2 linked regions of the Drosophila melanogaster genome follow. The protein of the gene in region 1 purifies or fractionates together with the protein of each later gene. This does not show direct contact. Each region holds a gene or a part of one and is shown in the gene's direction. Other genes may lie near its edges.

Evidence for each region. Proteins that work in one complex are often made in the same cells at the same time.
Region 2: the proteins of vig (region 1) and CG4806 purify together in Drosophila melanogaster (affinity purification with mass spectrometry, with the first as the bait; one large-scale study listed by BioGRID). This does not show direct contact.

Annotation. Positions count from the first base shown.
Region 1 is NT_033779.5:15,068,564-15,072,318, reverse strand, and holds the start of vig (vasa intronic gene), read left to right. Parts: upstream 1-2,002; 5' UTR 2,003-2,173; intron 2,174-2,222; coding exon of another isoform or gene 2,223-3,285; intron 3,286-3,448; coding exon of another isoform or gene 3,449-3,755. Other genes in the region: vas (vasa), read right to left, coding at 3,449-3,755; solo (sisters on the loose), read right to left, coding at 276-1,896, 2,223-3,285, 3,449-3,755.
Region 2 is NT_033778.4:24,666,366-24,670,120, reverse strand, and holds the start of CG4806 (uncharacterized protein), read left to right. Parts: upstream 1-1,777; 5' UTR 1,778-1,819; coding exon 1,820-2,937; intron 2,938-2,996; coding exon 2,997-3,252; intron 3,253-3,309; coding exon 3,310-3,755. Other genes in the region: Pof (painting of fourth), read right to left, coding at 1-219, 274-550; CG33228 (uncharacterized protein), read left to right, coding at 890-969, 1,025-1,384, 1,441-1,648.

The DNA of each region.
Region 1 (3,755 bases):
CATAACAATTTTATTCACTTAAATTTAAGCAGACGAAATACAGTTCATAAAAATTCATAACCAAAACTAAAATTCATTTTTAAATTGTGTATTTTATTTTAATACTGTTTCTGTACCAATTTATTAGCTAATCACGGACAATATAACAATTTAATGTCAACGAATAATAAGAAATGGCGATGATTCTAATACCACGTTCAACTTTATTAAATTATTTAAGCAAACTAATATTAAATTTTTTTTGTATTTTTAAAATTAAAATGCTTTTTATTTGATTAGAGCAGCCCGAAAAATCTACCATCCGAGCTAAGACTTATAATATTTGCAGTCTTAAGCTCGAGTAAAAAGCGATATGCCATCAACGCATCCTTGCGATTTCGGATGAATGGTGCATTGTGCATATCAACCTGGGACTGTCTGATAAGAGCACCGAAGAGCCCATGAACTACTCTCATCTTATCCTTCTGAATGTTCTGAATTATACGTGGATCGTAGACTTTGACAGCGGGCATTGTACTAAAATTTAGCGCGCCTTGGCTATTTTCCTTAAAAGGCCCCAGGGAGCTGACCTGTGCCCCTAGTTCCTCTTGACGATCTACCATCAGACGAACCACATTAGCGTGTTGTGAAATATATGCCAAATCGTTCATGGACACTCGATATAGTTGATTTTGCATTGATGTTCTGCGGTCACTTGGCGTTTGCAAATCATTTGTTGATGTCGATGGGGCGATATTTACTGCATTGTCTGTAATATTGGTGCTAACAAGATTCAAAGAATTGAGTTGCAACGACGGTAGTATCTGTATATCAGTCACATAAGCGTGATCGCTCATATTGGCCAAAGTGTTTGATACCTCCAGTGGAACTTCGTCGACTTCCATTGGCATTGGTGGAACCGATGTATTCATCATATTAGAGATGTCCATTTTTTGGGGTTTAATTTCAATTTCGGTTTTAGGTCCGAAAACAGCAATTGGATGCTGACCTATTGGAGTGGAATTTATGGGAGGCAGTAAGGCCAAAGCTTGATCAAATGATGCTTGGTCACTTGATGCATTTCCAGATATCTCCAAGGGAGCTACTACAGGAAGATCTTGAGAGAACGCTGCAGATTGCATACAAGCCCCAGAATCCGAATACCCTGTTGCCTGTGCAACTTCTAGGGAGGTCGTCGTTGCTTCTGTGGTCGGTGGTACCTCCTCTTGTAGTACATTTCGGGTGATATGGACTGATGTCGTTATTTCTTTCACTGAACGGGTTACTGCCAGACCTGAAGACGTCGTCACTTCTCCAGCTGCATTTTGTAGCAAGCTGGACATAAAAGTGGCTGCAATATGTCGGCTGCTTTGGAAGGCTTCCTCGCGACGGACAATTCGTTCCGGTGTTAGTTGCGGGCTGGCAGCTGAAGCGATACGATTACGTCGTCTGCGTGTACGCGAGCGACGACGCGCCCTTTGTGTTTGGCGAGGAGGTGGACCTTCGGCATAGTTAACCATTTCATCACGTGGTCGGAAAATCGAGCCCCACTCACGTTGCTCGCTTAGTGTTGTCTCTTCCGGCGGGAAAGCAACACTCATTTGCAGCTCGCGTGACACCCTGGTAAAGCGTAGATGATGCTCTTCGTCAATGACCGGCAGTCTAGGTCGGAATGATAGTAAAGGTGTTGATGCTGGAGGGCCTCCAAGCCGAGAACGAACCACTGTTGATCCTGGATGTCCGACTAAGCGGGTTTCATCCGCATCAGCTGGTACCACCAAAGTGTTGCTATCCATTTCTAACCCCAATGAATGCTCTGCTGGCAGTGATGGAGCCAACGGTGTCGATGCAGCGCCGCCTGCTGCCAATGATGGTATGGTCCCATCTTCGTAAGTCAAATTGGGTATAAAAGACAAGCTGTGAAACGGACATTACTTAGCTTATGTGTTCATTTAAGTTATAGAGAAGGAAACGAAAGTAAGCGAAGAGATGGAAAATATGTACATATAGAAAAGTAAGCTGAATTTATACTGCATTAAGGTACTTCTCTAATCAAATTTCCTATAAATTGTTTCGGTGTCTGGCTAAATTTGGTGTTTTTTTTTTTCTTTTATGTAATCTTTAAATGTTTGAAATCTGCTCTTTTCTACACAACCGCTCATTGGAAAAAGGGAATAAAAAGTATCCATAGATGGTAAGAAAGAAAAGCGCTAGACTAGACTAGTTAGAGTTGGTTTAAGTACCCTGGATCGCTCCTATGTTCATTTGGGGTGCTCGAAGCACGCAGAGCCACAACTCTGCCGGGGACTCCGGTTGCGGAGCAGGGAGTCTCCTCATCTCCAGTTGCATTGTAGCGACTAACGTAAATTCCATCTGGCGTTTCCTGATTTTGCGACCGCTGATGTCGTGCCAAGTTTACCATACTGCTGAGCTGACCACTACTCGAATTGTTTGGCTCGCTCGCAACAGTGGCTATTATGCGTGTCCTAATTAAGGGCTGAGAATAAAATATGCCTTTTTGATGGACCGTCGAAATGTGCTGCTTTGGAGACTCTGGCCAGTCATAAGATTGAAAAACCATATGCGGACTGCCAAAACGTACGGCCCTTATTTCATGCCGAGTGACAAAGTTCTCACTTAGCCAGTGCAGAAATCTAGTCACTCCATATGTTGATCCATCCACTTGATTATTTTCTGGGTGTTCTCGGTCTTCTGTTGGAATAGAATCTTCTCTCAATGCTCCTTGATTATCATCATACAGCCGTCGACCCGTTTGGTAACCTCGATCCAAAACCTGATGATACACGGCGTATGCGGCGCTTTGTATTTCGGTTAAGTCATCGCCATCGGTTAAACCTCCTGATCGACCGCCCTCAGTACCGCTTGTCCTGTTTGTTTGTCCATCTCTGATCTCCGAAGATTGCGGCATCACAACTTGCTGTAAATTCCTCCATTGCGACAAATCAGCTCTGCAATCCGCATCAATGCTTTGAAATCCCATCCCAATCCCATTTGCTTCCTCATGTTCACCTTCACGAATCAATCGGCCCATGTCCTCCATAAGGCGATTCATCATATCTGTTGTTTCGCGTATCTGATGTGCCTTTTGTGCACGCTTTTCTTGAGCTAATTTCTCGAGAGAAGCCCATGCTTGGTTCACCAAAGCCTTAAATGCAGTCAGCAAGTAGTCACGCAATTTTCGAATCAGTGCTAGGCTGGTCGTGTACTTGCTCAAGTCCAGCTGATCGATGAATGCGCCCACCTCATCCTTATCGCAGCTAGATGGGATCGGCGGCAGTTCCTTAGCTAGAATGTTGGCCAATTTGCCACCAATTGGGCAAATATGCATACACAAAACAAAAGAAAACAAACTACTTGACAAAACAAAGCACACCACATGGAATTCAGCAGGAATGACTCAAATGACCATAACCCAAAATTTAACATGTCGTCCAAAAGGTTTACTCACCATCCTCGTTTTCGTACAGCCGACCGCGGAAGCCGCCTTCTCCACCACGGAAGCCGCCTTGTCCCCCGCGGGAGCCGCCTTGTCCACCGCGGGAGCCGCCTTGTCCACCGCGGAAGCCGCCTTCTCCACCGCGGAAGTCCCTTTCTCCCTCGCGACGTCCACCGTGGAAGCCCCCTCCATCTCGATTTCCTCCTCGATAACCTCCAGCTCCTCCTCCTCTGCCTCCGCCGATCCTTCCGAACACATCTCGATTTCCTCCTTGGTAGCCGCCGCCTTCACCACCGCTCCCTCCAACACCATCGCCTTC
Region 2 (3,755 bases), on another chromosome or scaffold:
GAGCCACGCTAATGGGCAAGACCACATCCCGAATATCCTTGGACAGTCCTGCCAGCATGGGAGCAGTAATCTCGGGATCAGGAAAGCGGACGAGCAACACTTCGGAAGCGGGTGTCTGCCCCGGTTTGTTGGTCAACTCGCGTTCCAGGGCGAGGGCCCTTAATGTGTGTTCACGGCGCATTTTGGCCAGCTCCCGACGGGACAACTTGGCAGTGTCGGCTGAATGAAATTGTTGTATAAGAGTACTAGGATGTGAGCGTACCATCAACTTACGTTTCTTGTCACTGGTGGGCTTCTCCAGCTCGGCGTCGTTGTCCAAATCAACGCTAGTTTTCCACGGCAGAAGTTGACTCCCGGCGGGAGTCGGTTCGAACAAATAGGACTCCATCGGTGGAGTACATCCGTGGCCCGTGTAGGGTGCTACGTGTTTGGCCAGCATAACCTGACTGCCGTCGCCCCCCGACGCTTCTTTGTCTTGATCATCGGTGGTATCAAGGCGCTTGGCGTCCGGACCGTCGCCGGATTCAAGGGCCGCGCGTTTTGAATCCATTTTGTTAAGGTATCAAAAATGTGGAAAAATGTGGAACGTGTTCCTAGCTAAAGTTGTGGAAACTGGAAAAGTCTGTTCTATAGCTGTGTTGTTTACCTAATGAATGTTTCCGGAAGGAGTCGGCTTCTAATCATTATTCGAGTCTGACGCAAAACTCATAGCTGCTGCGACCTGGTGATCCGGCAACTTCGAGGCACAGCTGATTATTCTTCGGTGCATTCCTCAAGCACATACGTTGCCAGACCTTCTTCTTTGACAACCATCGGGTAGTGCCGCTGATTGCAGCACAGCTGATCACGTTGCCAGATTGTTTTCAAAGACAGCATAATAAAACACAAAATGTGTGCGGCCCTCTTACGAAGTGTTAAATTGGTTTATTTACGGCCAATACTAGCTAAACCGAATTTCCAGCTCTTACAGTAAGACCTATCCATTGACCTATCCGATTGAATCACTCTGCACCTTCTCATTTAGCACCAGCAGCGTGCTCCGCAAATGGCGGAATGCATCCTCCGGCGAAGTGGAACGGAAGCTCCTCTTTGGCGACAGGCTACCAGATAACTATAAACTGATTTACCGGGCCCCTATCGAGAGCTACGTGACCTGGACGAAGAATATATCCACTGCCACGACCACTGTACTTGCTGCGGTGGCCGCCTATCACTATGCCACAACCATAAACTACCTGGATATGGTCCAGAAAATGGACATAGCCATTCTGGTGTCCCAGGAATCAGATCTGTACTACTTTGTGGGTGGATTTCTGCTTATAAACCTGGCGATTCGAGCTTTTGTCGCCAAATATCCACTGAGAATATACAAGAGCTCGGAAAAGTAACTTTGTACGGTAGTACATGACATTTATAAGTAGTAACTTACTTTATTTTTAGATACGTGGCTGTCTATGGGTCCCAACTACCCATTGGAACTGTAAAACACTATTTTGAACGCGGTCAAATAGCTGAATACAAGAATTTTTTAAATCCCTGGAGCCACATTATGTACAAACTGGGCAACCGCTCCTCAATGCTTCTGGTTGATTACTTCAAGACCCCCTCGGAGTTCCACCAACTGTTCGCGACCAAACAAGAAACGTAGACTTTTTAATTGTTGATAATTGTTACAAATAAAATGTTAAAAACATTTTTTGAAATGTTTGTAAATTCCCGCCCATTTTCTATCGGTTATACCAGGGATGGACCTTCATTTTGGGTATTTTGCCGATCAGCTGTTTTGTTCGTTAGTTCTCATCAAGAGTTCCACGTGCAAATGGAACTTAAAAAAATGAAATCTTTAAAAGACGACGCTGCCGAATCCCAATCTCAGCCAGAAACCGGGGTCCGGAAGCGCCGCAACCCCTTTAACACACAGAGGCTGAAGGAAGAGAAGGAGCGCCGCCAGAAAAAGCGAGCGCGTCTCATCGTGCGCAACATCAGTTACAAGTCCACGGAGGACTCGCTTCGCGAGCATTTCGGGCAGTGGGGCACGCTGGAGGATGTACACATCCTGAAACGAGGTGACGGGAAGCTGGTGGGCTGCGCCTTTGTCCAGTACGAGACCATTAACCAGGCCACCAAAGCGATCCTGAACTCCAACGGCAAAGAGCTGCTCGGGAGAAAGGTATTTGTGGACTGGGCTTTGGGCAAGGACGAGTATGTATCAAAGAACCCGAAAGACGAGGAGCCGGATGAGAAGAAGCCAAAGGTGGAAGTGAAAGAGGAAAACGGTGACGAGAAGGAAGTTAAGGAGGAAAGCGACGCGGAAGTTGGCAAGGAAGATGAAAGTTCTGGGGAGGATTCTGATGCGGAATCCGGCGAAGATGAAGAGGACTCTGGAGAATCTGAAGACGAAGAGAACGACGAAGATCATAAGGAGAACAAGGACGAATTAAAATCAAAATTGGATATCAAAAATGTCAAAAGGGAAAAGCAAATCTCCAACGACGTCCAGGAGGGCTGCACGGTCTTCATTAAAAACGTTCCCTTCGATGCAGAGGATGCCGACTTGAGAAAGGCGTGCCGCAAATTCGGCTTGGTCAGCTACGCCATTATTAATCGCCAGGCGGTTTCTGGCCACTCCAAGGGTACAGCCTTCGTTAAATTCAAAGCCAAGGAGTCAGCGGATCTTTGTCTGCAAGCTGGAACAGAGTTTAAGTTGATGGACGAGGTCCTGGATCCTCATCCCGCATTGAGCCGCGAGGAAATGAAGTCGAAGCAGTCGCAGGAAAACAAAAAAGACGATGCCAAGGACTCACGAAACCTGTATTTGGCCAGGGAAGGTCTAATCATGGCTGGAGCGAAGGCAGCCGATGGGGTTTCTGCCTCAGACATGGCCAAGCGACATGAACTTGAGCAGGTTAAGACGCAGGTGCTCAAGAACTTGAATCGGTAAGACTGAAACTAAGTACATGACCGATTCATTTATAATCCAATTGATAATCCTCTAGGTTTGTTTCCCGGAATCGCTTGTCCATTCACAATCTCCCCCAAAACTATGACAATGAAAAGCTGAAACAAATGGCTCTGACTTATACTGGCTTCCGACCCCACGAATGCCGGGTGATGAGGGAACATAAGGTGACCCCTGAGCATCCACAGGGCAAGTCCAAGGGCTTTGGTTTCCTATCCTTCGACACGCATCAGAGAGCTTTGGCCGCCCTACGGAAACTAAACAACAACCCCAATATCTTCGGAACACAGAGTGTAAGGACTTTTAGACAACTCTTGCTAATTTCACTTGCTAACTATTCACTCCCTTAGCGCCCCATTGTCGCGTTCAGTATAGAGGATCGTGCTGTGCACAAAATCAAAGAAAAGCGCACGGAGCGCTCAAAGCAGAACAATCCCACATACCAAAACAAACAGCAGGAGCGCAAGGAGCGACGCCAGCAAAAGCGCAATGGTCAGGAGACCAAAACTCCAGTTCCCCAAGCAGATAATAAAAGCAAACTTCAGAAACACATTAAGAAACTTGAAGCTTCGCGAGCAGCGAAAGCCGAAGGTAAAGTCGCGGAGAAAAAGCAGTTGAGCGATGTTCAGGGCGATTTTGTCGGCACGGCCGCCAAGCCGGGCACCTCGCTGAAGATGCGATCCAAAAAGAAGATTGTAGAGCAGGCCAAGGAACACTTGAAGAAGGTGAAAACCGAAAAGCGCAAGCAGAAGAACAAGAAGATACGCGAGTCCCACCTGGCAGAGCGCAAGGCAAA